2 linked regions of the Arabidopsis thaliana genome follow. The protein of the gene in region 1 interacts with the protein of each later gene in a pairwise test. Each region holds a gene or a part of one and is shown on either strand. Other genes may lie near its edges. The genes, in order: NDT2 and ABCG1.

Region 1 (8,540 bases):
ACAATTATCTGATAAATGTCAACTAAAAATATATTTATTAATGAATTTGAGAAGTTTCCATATTTATCTGACGACAAAAAAAAAAAAAAAAAAATCCAAACGACACTTTATAATTTCTAGTAGATATTTGAGAAGTAGTCAACTTTCCATTTTTGAAGTGTTTTTATTACCTATAATAATAATGAAGTTGAAGTTCTTAAAAAGGGTATATTACGAAATTTAACTTTTTACATGATTTATAGATCCCACAATCTTTTACTATGACTTACTCATCAAGATTCAATCTGGTTCTTCTTTTTGGATGTGTACAGAAGAAAATATCCAGCTCCTGCAGCCATCACTGACATAATGAAACCTGGCTTATTGATCTTGAACGGAATCTTGCTAATGATATAACCCACTGTACACCGTATCGCAAAACGTAATCCGCAACTTGCTTTGAACTTTTGGATTGAGAATCCCTGGATCAAATCAATACAATAAGAATGAGTAGTGAAGCAGTGCTAGTAACATTTGCTAAGAACTTTCTAAGCTTGTCTTTTTGTGATATGTTTCCTAAGAATGTAAGTTTTTGTGTGCATTTGGAATTAAAGAAGAGTTTTACCTCTGGTAATTTGTTTTCTACTGCCAGCTTCTCGATATGCAGCCTTACGTTTGATGATGCAGCCCACCAGAATTTGCGATCCACACTTGAGTACACCTTAGCAACAATGTCATATAACGTCTGAGCTCCATCCACAGTGGCCTTTAGGATTGATTTTTCTCTGCTTCTGCGGTTTCTGGAAAACAAGATCACCCCTCCCATCAAAATTCCTTTATATATTAATGTATCAAATATCTTAATAAGTTCACTCTACTTTTATCTGATCAAACTGATAGACAAAACAGTAACAGGGTTTTAAACATCAGATTATCCACTACAGCATATTCTTATTCATACTTGAGATATCCACAAAGCATGTGTTTCGGCCACAAATTGACCCTTCCATGCATGGGAATCACCACATTTGGAGAAAGCTCCAGGAATTTATATGTCGACTGAAAGTAATCCTGCAACGGAAAATTGGAAATTAAGGAAGTGCATTTACTATCTTACCCAACACCTAACATTGAAACAACAAATTTGGAAACAAAACGCTACTAGAAAACATCGCAATCTACCACAGGTAAACCCTCACACTACGTTTGCATTGAAGTATTCAAAACAGAAAACAGACTGAGCATGCTTATACTTACTGTCATGTTACCACCTGCCCTGATGTCCAAGAAAGCACTTCCTTGACTGAAACAACCCAAAATGGTGAGTTAACATTTCTTGAGTTAATCAAATTTGACTGATTTGAATTAGCCTATAGCAACATAAATTTTAGTTGCTTGTCTTACCCAACACAATGATCACCAACAATCAGAGATTGAGTGGAGGTATGAAGTAGTGACATATGACCATCTGTGTGTCCCTGGAGTATTTTACTTAGTTAAGAGTTTATCAAAATGTATACTTTCAGCAGTGCAGCCAATCTGAGAGCTATCAAGGATTTAAAGAGCTGGATGGTACCGGAGCAAAAATGACGGTCAGTTTTTGACCGTTGACATAGATGTTTTCTCCTCCAGAAACTGGGGTATAGTTACCAGACCAACCACCTGGACTCAGAGAGTATCCGAACATTAGAAGGTGGATTTTATGAATGGAAAACAATATAGAAGAATGATACCAATGCGATGCCTAGTTTTAGCATGTGCCACTAGAATAGCATCAGGATTGCTCTCTTGTATAGCAGAAAGACCTGAAGCAGAGATGAAGATGAATAACATTGGCAATGGCATAAAAATGTTTTAGAATTTCAAGAGAGTAAAAATAAAAACAAAAGAAGCCACACCAAAGCAGAACGAGAAAAAAAAAACAAATCTTTACCATCAATGTGATCACGATGGTGATGTGTAACAAAGACAATTAGCTTTCTAGGTAAAGCATCAACGATTTTCTTGAGCTGGTTAAGACAAAAAAAAATGCAGTTGTGAATAATTTAAAATGCAAAATGTAAAGACCAGATCTTCTGTACCATTCGAAAAAGAAGTAAAGAATATAGTATGAAGAGCGAAAACAACACGTAGCTACTAGCTAGGGACAAACCTCAACGTGGAGTTTAGAGAGACATCCAGGATCCACTATCAACGCATCCCCATGAGCTACAAAATCAGCCCCTTGATGGTCCCCCAAACCATTTTCTGGAGCAAACACAACCAAATTTGTTGTCCTGAAAGGTTTCAATGTTTTGCTATGCATCGGCACAATCATAACACCAGGTGGATATTCCTGAGATAATAAAGACATTAAAAAGTAGGATTCTAGTAAAGAACAACATCATAAGATGGAACCGCTTTGATGAAGTAAGATGAAGAAGACAAGTATAGATACTTAGATAGTATGGCAACAAGAGACCTGGATAGCCAGAGAAGATGACAACTTATGCTTCATAGACTGACGGGAACCATCCCCAAGTCCAAGTAGTACTAATGGTCCAACGCGATCACTGCCCAATTTTACATCTATAAGAGAGTCGAAGCATGATTCCATTGACATCCACTTACAGTTGTCTGCACAAAAACAAAACTTTTTGTTTCAGTTTCCAATTCTCAACGTTTCTTTCGAATCGAGTGAAGCTATTTCCATAAGCTCTGAAAATGTGGAAATCAAGAGAGATTAATACTGTATACTATCGAATTAAGGACGACCTTGTAAACTTTGATCTGTATTTAAGAGCTTCCCGGAGATAAAACAAGTACGGACACAAGAGTCAGGTCCAAACTCAGGCTCTTCTACAGACCTGACGAATCTCCACTCTCCTACATCGCTAATATCAATCCCTAAATTCTCCAGCAGCTGCATTTACTCGGAAACATTAATTCGCGGAAACAATGAGAAAAAGAGGACAGTGCTAAACTCATAAATTACCAGAATCAGTGTGGATTCGAAGTCGAAATTCATCAAATCAACCTCCTCCGAGCATGAGTCAAGTATAGAAATACTAAATCCGGACCTCACTCCGTCTTCCAGAGCCTGTAAATCTGTTGACGGTAAGTCCCAGAGATCGGAATCGACAAAGGAATCGTAAGCTTCATCTCCAAATTTCGCCGGCTGTTTTTGCTTCTCGAGTAGGAACTCAACGTCGTCTCTAGGGCTCTTGATGATCAAAGCAAGTTTCAGATTTCCCATTTCTGCAGAATCGGAATTCACAAGTGTGAAGAAGCTCGCCGATGAAAGTTTTCCTTGTTTTTCAAAGTTTAAGCGGACCCAAACCAAATCGGTTAAACCGTTGGGTTACGGTTTAGCTTGGTTTGATCGAATTATACCGGATTCAGTCAGATTATAATTTGATAATCAGATAGAGGCAAAAAGTGTTCAACTTTCTTTCTTCTTGGGTTGTGTGTTGTTGTTGTTAAATGTGTGACGTCATCTCAAACCAACTGTGCTTCTTCGGAATCTGTAAGAAAAAAAATCGATCCTTTCGACTAGGGACCGCCTAAATCATACGCAAACAAAGTCTCTTCCTTTACCCGTCTACACGTTCGAATTTTTTCTCCGGGTCGGGTCAATGTCAAGAACGACGAGAATTGTATATAATCGTCGATTCACGTGGCCGGGTTTATCATTTACTGCTGGATCTCGTTTTCAATTTTGAGTCAGATTCCCCCCAATTGAGAGATTCTAGGGTTTTAAGATGATTGAACATGGGAACTCTACCTTTGATTACCGGAGTATTAGAGAAGTCGCTGCAAACGCCGGCGCCGGAGCCACCGCAGGTTAGTTTCAATTATCTGTTTTCAAGTTCGTCTTTTGATTCGGGTAGCTGAATTTTTGTTTTGTTTGGTTGATTTGGGGATTTTTTTTCAGGGGCTATCGCGGCGACTTTTGTTTGTCCATTAGATGTGATCAAAACAAGGTTACAGGTTCTTGGTCTCCCTGAAGCTCCAGCCTCTGGTCAAAGAGGTACTACTTGCTTCAAACTGAGCTTAATTTTCTTAAGAGTATGACTAGTGTATGTAGTTGTAGATCTAATGTGATGGGTATGAGAGATTGTGTGAATGCAAGTAGTTTGTTTCTGTTTAAGTTGTTGCATGTTTGATCAAGACTCTCTCTTGTTTGAGTTATTGGATATAGGTGTTAACTAGCTACATCTGTTTGTGATATCAGGTGGTGTAATCATTACAAGTCTGAAGAATATAATTAAGGAAGAAGGTTATAGGGGAATGTATCGAGGGCTTTCACCAACCATCATAGCTCTCCTTCCAAATTGGGCTGTAAGCACCACTGTTCTCTACAGAGCTTTGTTTCTTCAAGTGAATTTGTCTTGTCATAAAAGATATTACTTGCCCAACATTCTCCTATGGATCTTCTATAGGAGATATTTTATGTCTTCTAATCGATTTTAATCTGTTTTTGAATAACTTTAGTTCCTTCCTTAATCGTTATTCTGGTATCACGCTCAGGTCTACTTCTCAGTTTATGGGAAGCTAAAGGATGTGCTGCAGTCAAGTGGTTGGTTTTCCTTTGTTACAAATCTTTTGTGCGTTGTAGCTTATGCTTAACCGGAAGAGTATCATATATATATGCTCAAATAACGTATACCAAGTCTTTTTTATCAACTGTTCATGTTTGACTGATAGATGGCAAGCTTAGTATTGGGTCAAACATGATAGCTGCAGCTGGTGCTGGAGCTGCCACATCTATTGCAACTAATCCGCTTTGGGTTGTCAAGACAAGATTAATGGTAACTTTTGTCTTCTTTCTTTGGTTTCAGCTTTACTAGACATGTTGAATTTGTTTTATCATAAGATACTTGACCTAACCTCTTACCGTTTTTTCAGACGCAAGGAATTAGGCCTGGTGTGGTACCTTACAAAAGTGTAATGTCTGCATTTAGTAGGATTTGTCATGAAGAAGGAGTGCGAGGGTTGTACAGGTTAGTGTCTCATATGAAACTGAAAGTTCCGTAAATTTGAACACCTTTTTCTTGTGATATTTCGTGCTTATGTTAAACGTTTTAGTTATATTGCTTATATTTCCTGTATTGGAACAGTGGCATATTGCCTTCTTTGGCGGGAGTAAGCCATGTCGCGATCCAGTTTCCAGCTTATGAAAAAATTAAGCAATACATGGCAAAGATGGGTAAAACATGATTCCTCCAGTAAAATATTGTTACATAATCATGTGCTGTTCCCAACTAGTTTCTGATCAGAGCTATAAAAGTTCTCAGATAATACATCCGTGGAGAATCTGAGTCCTGGGAATGTTGCTATTGCCTCCTCCATCGCGAAAGTGATCGCCTCTATTTTGACTTACCCACACGAGGTCTCTCTTCTTCTTCTCTTTTGTGCTCTCTTTACCTCACTCTTAAGCTCATAACTAACTATAAACTGTTTTATGTTACATCCACAGGTAATTAGGGCGAAGCTTCAAGAACAAGGGCAGATTAGAAATGCTGAGACTAAGTATTCAGGAGTCATTGATTGCATCACAAAGGTGTTCAGAAGCGAAGGGATTCCTGGGTTGTACCGTGGATGTGCCACTAATCTACTGAGGACAACTCCATCAGCAGTTATTACATTTACAACCTATGAGATGATGCTTAGGTTTTTCCGACAAGTTGTGCCACCAGAGACTAATAGGTCGGATGATCGCAGAAGAGAAGAAGAAAGAAAGAATTTAGTTAGCCGACGAGGAGAAGAAGAAGATAAAGATTTGGGTTTGAGAGAATCACAAACTCAATCTAATAAGATCAGCACTCCCCATATCCCTCTTGGAAGCAAATAAAACTTTTTCAGACTCAAGCCATGCTTCATAGGTTTTCTTTTTTTCGATGCCATGTTCCAACTACGTAATTTTTCCCCATGCGGTGATTGAGTTGTAACCTTTTCTCGTGGTTCTAACAAATGTGTAAACTATCAATAAACTACTTTTTGGCCCTTTTGATGATCAGTGAGTATTTGAAGATCGTATTCGTTGTGGTATTCTAAGAGTTATAGTTGAGATCCCTCTCTGTTTCACACTCTATGTGCAAATTTGCAGGTTGTGGGGTTTATAGAAAAGTAGATGCTTTGGATGGAATTTTGTGGGCACTACAGATTTCTTTCCTTCTTCTTTCTTGAAACTGCCGCTTCAATTACCACCAGGTAATGGGATCTTCTTCCTCGGGTTATATAAGCTTTTAGCACTTTGAAGGAACAACTATCACCGAGGAAAGACGTGTTTCTGGTTTGAGAGATTTTTCTTGGATGCCTTGGGAATCTTGCCTTTTATACCGATAATGTATCCAAATTAGTTTCTGGTATCAGATCTGGTGATTAACAAGATAGATAGGCCTGGAATCAGTAGATAGATACCACTGAGATTATAACGGAGCTGTGAATGTGAGTCAAGTTACCTCTTACTGTCAATTTTTTTTTTCTTTTTATAAATACCTTTTGATTCAATCTTACATACAGTAGACAAAATTAGACATAGAAAATTGGTGATTGGTAGTTCAAGTTATGTCACTATGTACATTCTCTCGGTACCTACTGCTTCACAACCCTGTGCCTCATCTTATATCGTTCCATTGAAACAAATGAGAAGAAACCAATACCTGGTGGATCCTAGAATTCGTAGGCGCTGGTATTCGGTGTGGTTGATTTACTTGTCCATTGGTCAGTCACAGAGACTGGTGAACGTGGGAATTTCATATTTTTTAATAGTGCAGCCTCACCCCAATCTGGTGGCGAAGGGTGTGGAATTATTGTCTCCTCTCTGTAGTCGTAGGTTGGACATTTTTGCTCCTCATTCTGGATTCCTTTTAGCTCGTGCACAACTTGTTCCATTGTGGGTCTCATTGTATTGTCTTGCTGCAAGCACTGAAAAGCCAACTCTGCCACCATTGTAGTCATTTTTCTAACTCCTTCATTCGTTGCATATCCAAGATTCTGATCAATCAGCTCGTGGGTCGCATGGTTTTGTATCTTGTTTATTGCTAAGCTTGATAGATTGATCTCACTCTTGCATCTACTTATATCAACAGCAGGCTTCGATGATATCAGCTCGACAAGCACCACCCCAAAGCTATACACGTCACTCTTATCTGTTAGATGATAGCAGCGATGATATTCTGGATCCACGTATCCCGGAGTACCCTGAGGAGCAGTTGAAACATGAGTTACATCACTCGGGAGCAACCTGGATAGCCCAAAATCCGCGACTTTTACTCCGAAATTCCTGTCGAGGAGAATGTTTGTAGTCTTGACATCCCGGTGTATGATATCCGAAGCATGAAGGTAAGCCAATGCACTCGCTGTTTCTATGGCGATGCTCAGGCGCATTGACCATGTTAAAAAGCCTTGGTGTGGCGTGTTTTCGCCATAGAGATGATCTGCAACTGTGCCATTTGGAATAAACTCATAGACAAGGAGAAGCTCTCGGCTGCGGCGTGAAGTGCATCCATAGAGGGAGACTAGATTCTTGTGATGGAGACGTGTGAGGATTTCTATCTCGTTCATGAATTGCTCAAGTCTTCTGTAATTGTGCTCATAGAGACGCTTCACTGCAACTTCTCGCCCATCACGCACTTTTCCTGAGATCAAAAAGGAAGAAAAGATTAGCTTAACAGAGATTTCACACTTTTCTAAAAGTGTTCGTGCTCTGATCAATCTTACCATAGTACACAGTGCCAAAGCCTCCATCTCCTAGTAATCTGTCTTTACTAAAGTTGTCTGTTGCTGCTTGAAGTTCCTTATAGGAGAAGATTGGTATCTTAAAGAAGACTTGACTAAACTCAACGTCAGATTTTGAGTTGTCTCTGGAGAGCTCTGAACCATCTTTCCTTCTGTAATTCCTATGGATGACAGCAAAGAGTGCCACCAAGATGATTATCAAGATGACAGATCCTCCTATTCCTATCGACAATTAGAGAGGTAACTGATTCAAATTGAGTATTTCATGGAAAAAGATGAAACTTAAGGAGGAAAACAGGACATCTGTTTCTTACCTAATCCTAGCCTCATCTCCGCATGGTAGTTATTTGGTTCTGCAACAAAGGGACAGAAGTCGAATTATAGTCATATAGCCAAATGTTTTGCAAGTAGAATTGCAGAAGTTATGATCATGTTTCATTGTGTTCATACCTGTGTTTGCGCCAACGCAACGGTAATTGTTTTTAACCTTTGTACATTCTCCACCGTTATTGTGGCAGCGAAAGCAGTTCCCAGGCAGTTCTATATGAAGAGAGAAGGTAGCATTTACATCAGACAGGTTCCCATTTTTTGGAGTCACCCAGCTCTCTGGAGTCTTAATAGGTGAACACCCTGAAACATCATGATCATCTCCCAAATTGTAGTACAAGCTGCTTCCTTCTCCTCTGCAATTCGCATAGCTGAAACCATTCTTCCTACTACTATTGTTGCATTTGTACAACGTGTTCAATTTGAGCCATGGAGAATCTGGAAGAGAGAAGCTTGACAAGTCACTGCAGCCTCCGGTTGTCAAGCTTTGGTTAAGCCTCGGGTCGATGATG
Region 2 (7,975 bases), on another chromosome or scaffold:
AAGTTAGTAGGCAAAAAGTCAACAAAAAATTAATTACGGCTAAAAGTCAAAATGAAATTGGAAATGTAAAGCATTCCCTATCACATTTAATGCTTACACATGTTAACCACTAACACCGCCTAGGATTATATTTCTAGAAAGGTAGGAATATGATAGTGAGTTACGTTCAAAATTGGTTTTGAAATCAATGTGATTGGAGAATATTTGGTAAGAGAAACCAATATTATGTGACTTTCATGATGATGCGGATTTCGTGATTAGTATGTGTACCAATTGATTGTCCAACAATATCAATTTGGTAGCAAGTTTTGAAGAAAAAAATCCATTCTTTTCCCCAAAGCTTGTGTCGGATAACGCTGATTTGTACTGCCTAACTAAATTAATAACACTAGCGAATGACATGAGTCATTATCAAACTATTCGCACGTTATATTCATTCATAAAAGCTTCGCTACATTCTCTATAATTACATCAATCATGCTTTGTTCAAAATCTCTTAAATTAATCCTTCGAATTTTTGGCTAGATAATTGATGTTTTAACCAATCTCTTATGTGCACACCATAGTAAGGACGATCGTAAGAGAAAGAGATGCCACTGATATTAAAGACTCCACATCCTACATCGAATTCATATGATCTTATCCAAGTTCCGTCGTGCATGAACAAGTACCTGAGCATTAACTCAACAAGCTAGACCTTTACCGATAATATCTTCACATATAAATTACCTAATTGGTGACCCATTTGACTTTAACCCACATGCATCGCATTAAATATGAAATCATCTTCTTTAACAATTAAAAAAATGAAGTCATCTTATTGACCCATCTCAATACAATTTATGCGACAAGTTTTCTTTTTACAATATATTATGAATAAAGTTTGGATTGAAATTCAGAGTAATATCACTTAAGAAGTTAAGATATTACTACATTAGGTACCAAAAAGCGGCCCGTCAAAAGAAACAAGCTAACAAAAAGCATTGGGATCGAATAGAATTGACTACTGACATCAACCCGCAATTTTACTAACTTTTTTTTTGTTGGGGTCAAAATTTTTACTAACTATTTAAAACTTCCAAAATCACGATTCATTTTATTTTGGATAAATAAAACCTCGATTCATTTTATGGGCTATCGGATAGCTTTTCACTTTCAGTGATCAGAACTTCGCCCATAATAGCATAAATACCATCGTACCAATCTACACTAAGCCTTTTTTTTTTGTTTAATTTGATTACAAATCTACACTAAGGTGTCAACAGAAACCTATTGCAGTACTGTTATAGTTAGAAACTAGAAAACACTGGAACATGATTTTCAAATTAGGTCATCAATTCAAATAAAGATCTTCAAAAATAGCATTTACTATTAATATTACATATTATACCAAAGATGCACCAGTTAAACTGGTATAACACTATATAGAAAGAACCTAGAACATGGCACACCACACAATATTTAAAGCTGAGACAAAATTTTCAAATTAGAATGGCTAGGCTATCTTAACTAGCTAGTTCGTCAGGAGGTTGCGATAAATGATTGATATAATATTGTTATGCTTGCAGTTGCCAATTACCATATGTGTGCACACATAGGTAATGTAGACATGCGTCAGGCGTTGTCCACATTAAAAAACTATGACTTACTCAATAAGGTTTTGGATGCCTAATCTCTTGTCATATAAGTTTCGCAAAACCGACTCGACTAAGCAGATAAGTTACAACTAGCATTTTGAATTAAGGGTTTAAAGTCCAAAAGATTCTTGTTACAAAGAGTTGACTAGAACCTTATATTTATTTTAGATAACTTGACTCGAACCTTGCATGTGCGTGTCGAAGAGTTTTCCGGCATAGTGTTAGGCTTTCAATTAAGTTCTAGGCTTTTAATTAAGTTTGGCAAGTGAAGTAGCTAAGCTAGCTAGCCTTGTAGGTAACCATTTAATATAGATTTACGTTTTGATTTTAATTGGACCGACTATGAAATAGACCAATATAAAACATCAGTCTACATGCCTAGATCCTTGAGTATATATTAATACTATTTCACATGTACAAACCATTTACAAGTTGGCATCAATTTTGCATGACTTTTTTGTTTCGATAATATTTTCGCTTTTTAACTACTTCATCAATCATGTAATTCAAGCTTTGACTACCATAGTAGAAAATTTGTCGTTTCCACTTTTAAAAATTGCTTTTAGTTACCTAATGCAAATTTTTTGTCAACTATATAAAAGGCTAAAACGCAATCAAGAATACTGATTTCACAAAAAGGCAGATTTTAGATGCTTCTAACTAGGCATAGACATTAGACATCACACGGTGTTTGTTACCTCTACATTGTAGTAATCACTTGAAAACTCTTCTTTAAAAGCGACGGGCACCGGTAAAATATTTGGATTTTTTGTGTGTGATTAATTCTACATAAATTCACAGAATTTGAACATTTGTTTACTCAAAAATAGTAGTATGAAATAAGCATTAATGGAGGCAACTATGGGAAACTCACACGAAAGTCCTCGACCCATGCATATGTTAGATGAACAAACACCCTTTACCTAATTGGCTAATTCACAAGTCAATAAAACCCATTTCGCCACGTGTCATATGTTCCCACCGATATTTTTAATTTCTCGTTACCCCAAGAAAAAGAAGAAGAAAAACGTATTTGGTAATTTCTACTTTAAGAAACTTTAGATATGATAGGTGGACTCTTCACCTTCCCCAAATAAATAAACAATAAATCAAAACCGCATTTACATCCAAACAGTCAAAATATCAACCTAACATACTTTTCCCATGCAACTCACCCAGACTTTCTTATTTAACATAGCCTTCGTGTCTTCACACATCCAAACACGTCTCTTCATGCACTCTCTCGCTTCTATATAAGTTTTCAGTAACATAACAGATTTATACATATCCAACAAAAGTCCCATAAACTAAACAATAAACACTGCTGTCTCTTCTTCTTCTTCTTCTTCTTCTTCTTCTTCTTCTAGAACAGTACGTTATGAGAGTGTTTTAAGGCCGTTAATTTGTTAAATCACTCTTTAAAAGTTTTTCTATTGTATCTATGGCTCGTATTGTAGCAGCTAATGATGATGATTCCATGGAGCTAAACACCATCTCCTCTATACACGATTCAACTTTAGGGCAACTTCTGAAGAACGTTAGTGACGTCAGAAAAATGGCTATTGGAGACGAGACTCCAGTTCACGAGTCCTTAAACCAAGACTACAACGATGGTTACATGCGTACAGTTCCATTCGTTCTCTCATTCGACAATCTCACATACAACGTCTCTGTTCGTCCAAAACTAGACTTCCGCAATCTCTTTCCACGTAGGAGAACAGAGGATCCGGAGATAGCTCAAACGGCGAGGCCAAAAACTAAAACCCTTCTCAATAATATCTCTGGCGAGACACGAGATGGAGAAATCATGGCTGTTCTAGGCGCTAGCGGCTCGGGAAAATCAACACTGATCGATGCATTAGCGAATCGGATTGCCAAAGGAAGCTTAAAAGGAACAGTGAAGCTAAACGGAGAAACACTTCAATCTCGAATGCTCAAAGTTATATCAGCTTACGTGATGCAAGATGACCTTCTCTTCCCAATGCTTACCGTTGAAGAAACACTAATGTTCGCAGCTGAGTTTCGTCTCCCGAGAAGTTTACCTAAATCTAAAAAGAAGCTTCGTGTGCAAGCTTTGATTGATCAACTAGGTATCAGAAACGCGGCTAAAACTATTATAGGAGACGAAGGTCACCGTGGAATCTCCGGTGGTGAAAGAAGACGTGTTTCCATCGGAATTGATATAATTCACGATCCGATTCTTCTCTTCCTCGATGAACCAACCTCTGGTTTGGATTCAACGAGTGCTTTCATGGTGGTTAAAGTATTGAAGAGGATTGCTCAGAGTGGTAGTATCGTAATTATGTCGATTCATCAACCTAGTCATCGTGTTCTCGGTTTGCTTGACCGGTTAATCTTCTTGTCACGTGGCCACACCGTGTATAGTGGATCTCCGGCGAGTCTTCCACGTTTTTTCACCGAATTCGGGAGTCCGATACCGGAGAACGAGAATCGAACGGAGTTTGCGTTAGATCTCATCCGTGAGCTTGAAGGATCCGCCGGAGGAACGAGAGGATTAATCGAATTCAACAAAAAATGGCAAGAGATGAAGAAACAGAGCAATCGTCAACCACCGTTGACTCCACCGTCATCACCGTACCCAAATCTAACACTAAAAGAAGCAATCGCCGCAAGTATCAGCAGAGGAAAGCTAGTTTCCGGCGGTGAATCCGTCGCTCACGGCGGAGCAACCACCAACACCACAACCCTAGCCGTTCCTGCATTCGCGAATCCAATGTGGATCGAAATCAAAACTCTCTCGAAACGATCAATGCTCAATTCACGAAGACAACCAGAGCTATTCGGAATCAGAATCGCCTCTGTTGTTATCACCGGATTCATTCTCGCCACCGTGTTCTGGCGATTAGATAATTCGCCTAAAGGAGTTCAAGAGCGGTTAGGGTTCTTCGCCTTCGCGATGTCGACAATGTTCTACACTTGCGCCGATGCGTTACCAGTTTTTCTCCAGGAACGTTATATCTTCATGAGAGAAACTGCTTACAACGCTTACCGGAGATCCTCATACGTTCTCTCTCACGCCATCGTCTCATTCCCGTCGCTCATCTTCCTCTCTGTAGCTTTCGCGGCGACGACGTATTGGGCAGTGGGCTTAGATGGAGGCCTAACGGGCCTTTTGTTCTACTGTCTGATCATTTTAGCCTCGTTCTGGTCAGGAAGCTCCTTTGTCACGTTTCTATCAGGTGTGGTTCCTAGTGTGATGTTGGGTTACACAATCGTCGTTGCTATTTTGGCTTACTTCTTGTTGTTCAGTGGATTCTTCATCAACAGAAACCGAATCCCGGATTACTGGATTTGGTTTCATTACATGTCATTGGTGAAGTACCCGTATGAAGCGGTTTTACAGAACGAGTTCTCTGATGCGACCAAGTGTTTTGTGAGAGGAGTTCAGATTTTCGACAACACGCCATTAGGGGAACTACCGGAAGTGATGAAGCTGAAGCTTCTTGGTACAGTGAGCAAGTCCCTCGGGGTAACGATATCGAGCACGACTTGTTTAACTACTGGTTCAGATATTCTGAGGCAGCAAGGTGTGGTTCAGCTGAGTAAATGGAATTGCTTGTTCATCACAGTTGCTTTTGGGTTCTTTTTTAGGATTTTGTTCTACTTCACTTTGTTACTAGGAAGCAAGAACAAGCGGAGGTGAAAACAACTAGAAGACCCAAATCAAAACATACTTGTATTTTCTGTTTGTAATTCCTTGAATTGTTTAATGAAAATGGTTTCTTTTCATATATATAAAAAGAGGTATGTCTCCTGGATTCCCTTATCTCAAAATCTTATAGAAGAATAAGGATTTCCATATTCACAAAAACGTCTTTACAAACAAATTTGACTTATCTTCCAAACGTTTCCTACTAACAGACTATCAAGTATTATAAACCTAATGTCATACCTGAGATTGTGTGTGTGAGCAGATAATGATGATGATGAAGCCAGAGAGCCTTGGATTATCTTCATTGGTCTCCTTAAGATCAAAAGATATGATGAACTTCGATTTTGCTTTTTCTGTTTCCATCAGACTATAACAAACATTAAAAATATTTCATCATGTACGTGTAAAAAAATCATTGACATCTAGATTTCGATCTCCATGAGCAACTGCGTCTTCGGGTTCTGGCATGAAGAGACTCGTTGATGTCGCCTGCACAAGGAATAACACAACCAGTTCTCAATCCATATCTTGAAAATAAGGATCTACAAGTTTCATAACAAACATATGGCAAATGCAAAAGAAGACTTACCTTGGTATCAAGAAGCATATCTCCGTTGCTGTCAGTAATGATGTTAGCACCATGAGTTTTTAGCCATTCCAAACAGTCCTCCATACCATCGGTCTCCTTTTCATCAGTACCTTCGCTTGCAGCACCAGTAAATCCCAACACTTGGACTATGTATGAGACCGGGATTGTAGGACGACAACTACGAGACATAAAATTCACAGCCTTGTAACGCATCTTCTCCACATAGAGATCTGCAAACATAACAATTTCACCATATCTTTACATATCTACTCATTCAATTGTTTAAATATATCAAGAGAGTTTTCATGTATCATATGACCCTTACCCATGAGGCAACTATTCATGTTTGGTGCAGTCTTGTAGAGTCTGAAGAACATAACATAATTCCCTGATGTGACAGCTGCACGAACTGAAAGAGCATGTCTAACTGCTTCATCCTTCTTATCTTCTTCGGATAATCTTCAAAACAGAGGTCACAAAATTACTCAATCTCATGCATACAAACCCAATTCAAAGAGGTAGTAGTAACCTCTTTGCACTGGTAGGAAGAGATGTTACAAAAACTCAACTATCAGGTAGGTGGACAGAACATTAATAATTCCATTACTAACTCAAAGAAATTGTGTAGCAAACCATATTCTGATATTTCTACAAAACCTTAATTTATAAAAAAAATTCCCATGAACCATGAATGCATCATGCTTAAAAGGAGCCCAGAGATGGGACTTTACAACTACTAACCTGGACATGGATGATAGCAGTTCTCGGTTGTTGTTAGAGTGTAGAGTAATATAGAGTAGACTGTACGCAGCAAACTCCAGAGAGCATCCTTCTACACCTTCCGCATAAAGAGTTTTTAACTGTGACAGGCACTGTAACAAAAAAAAAAATAGAAATCAATTTAGCAAGGCTATACATACCCTAAGAGTTATAGTCTCCTCAGGAATAGACAACAGATGTATTTTACAAGACTTGATGGAACGGTATCATTATATTGCAGAATCAATGCAAACAAAAGCCACAATCCATAGTAACCAGTCATCAGAACTATGCTCCCTTTTGCAAAGTTTCTCTCTGATTCAACACTTTATGTTGCTTTTTTATTTTTTAGAAAATGAGAGACCAGTGAAATTCTAGCAGTGGTTGATACTCTTTAAATTACGAAAAAGACAAAAGTGCTTGATACCGAATTTGAACTAGAAATTCTGATTGATCTATCAATCTATGCTAGCGTACCAACCTGATTATACTCAGGTAAATCCCCTGCCTCCAAAGCTAATCTAGCATGTGTTTCATAAACCTGAAATTGAGATTGCACATGGAACCATTATAAACATGCTAATTGGGTGTAAATAAGATAAACGTTCCAACAGGAAATGAATCCTACATGCAATAACACTCGACATTATTGGAAGTCAGTTATGTACCTTAGCTGTTAAATGATTGTGTATCCGTTGTACTGTGAGGTCTTGGCGAATAGACTTTAGTTGATCACATTTAAAAAGATAATTCTTTTGAGAATCCTGAACCATTATCAGAGCTTTTTCCAAAACATCCTCTGGTCTTACCTGAAAATAAGTCAATCAAAAATATCAGTCATGGTGTCAAAAAGAATACTAGGTATAAGAATATAAGATAGTAATATTTACGGTGGCAGGATCTGGCGCAGAAGTCAGACGGAGATAACGTTTCTCAATTTCCTGGCAAGTGCCTTTAACAGTTAGTGCATCCCAGTCAATGTCTTCCACAGCTCTGCTGCCACTTTCATCAAAAACTTTGCTAAGCCTCAAGGCAGTGGCTCTTCTAGAATGCAAATTTCCAACATTTGCATTCTTAGGTTTTGTAAGATCATTCCCTCGGCTGTGGCCTTGAATTTTTTCAAAACGCTTGGAACGACTATCACGTCGCTTCTTTTCCTCGGCAGAACCAGCAAGTGCCATTGCACTGGAATAGTAAGGTGTCAAATCCTTGTCACTATCACTAGATGCCTCATCATCAATGGCAGTAGCTGCACCACCAGAAAAACGCTGTCGCTTGACAGGCCGCTGGAAACTTTTTTTTGCAGAATTTTGCCCA

The links.
Region 2: the proteins of NDT2 (region 1) and ABCG1 interact in a protein complementation assay, tested with the Arabidopsis thaliana proteins (one large-scale study listed by BioGRID).

Annotation. Positions count from the first base shown.
Region 1 is NC_003070.9:8,900,007-8,908,546, forward strand, and holds NDT2 (NAD+ transporter 2), read left to right. Parts: upstream 1-3,398; 5' UTR 3,399-3,719; coding exon 3,720-3,801; intron 3,802-3,892; coding exon 3,893-3,988; intron 3,989-4,192; coding exon 4,193-4,299; intron 4,300-4,488; coding exon 4,489-4,537; intron 4,538-4,665; coding exon 4,666-4,769; intron 4,770-4,866; coding exon 4,867-4,961; intron 4,962-5,078; coding exon 5,079-5,167; intron 5,168-5,255; coding exon 5,256-5,350; intron 5,351-5,437; coding exon 5,438-5,812; 3' UTR 5,813-6,449; downstream 6,450-8,540. Other genes in the region: AT1G25375 (Metallo-hydrolase/oxidoreductase superfamily protein), read right to left, coding at 273-461, 605-779, 941-1,050, 1,237-1,282, 1,384-1,457, 1,556-1,641, 1,713-1,784, 1,913-1,988 and 4 more; AT1G25390 (Protein kinase superfamily protein), read right to left, coding at 6,634-7,601, 7,684-7,923, 8,016-8,054, 8,152-8,540. UniProt on the Arabidopsis thaliana protein: Mediates the NAD(+) import into chloroplast. Favors the NAD(+)(in)/ADP or AMP(out) antiport exchange, but is also able to catalyze a low unidirectional transport (uniport) of NAD(+).
Region 2 is NC_003071.7:16,427,500-16,435,474, reverse strand, and holds ABCG1 (ABC-2 type transporter family protein), read left to right. Parts: upstream 1-2,917; 5' UTR 2,918-3,078; coding exon 3,079-5,301; 3' UTR 5,302-5,390; downstream 5,391-7,975. Other genes in the region: SAC3A (SAC3/GANP/Nin1/mts3/eIF-3 p25 family), read right to left, coding at 5,704-5,799, 5,900-6,129, 6,225-6,358, 6,641-6,771, 7,140-7,199, 7,327-7,467, 7,549-7,975.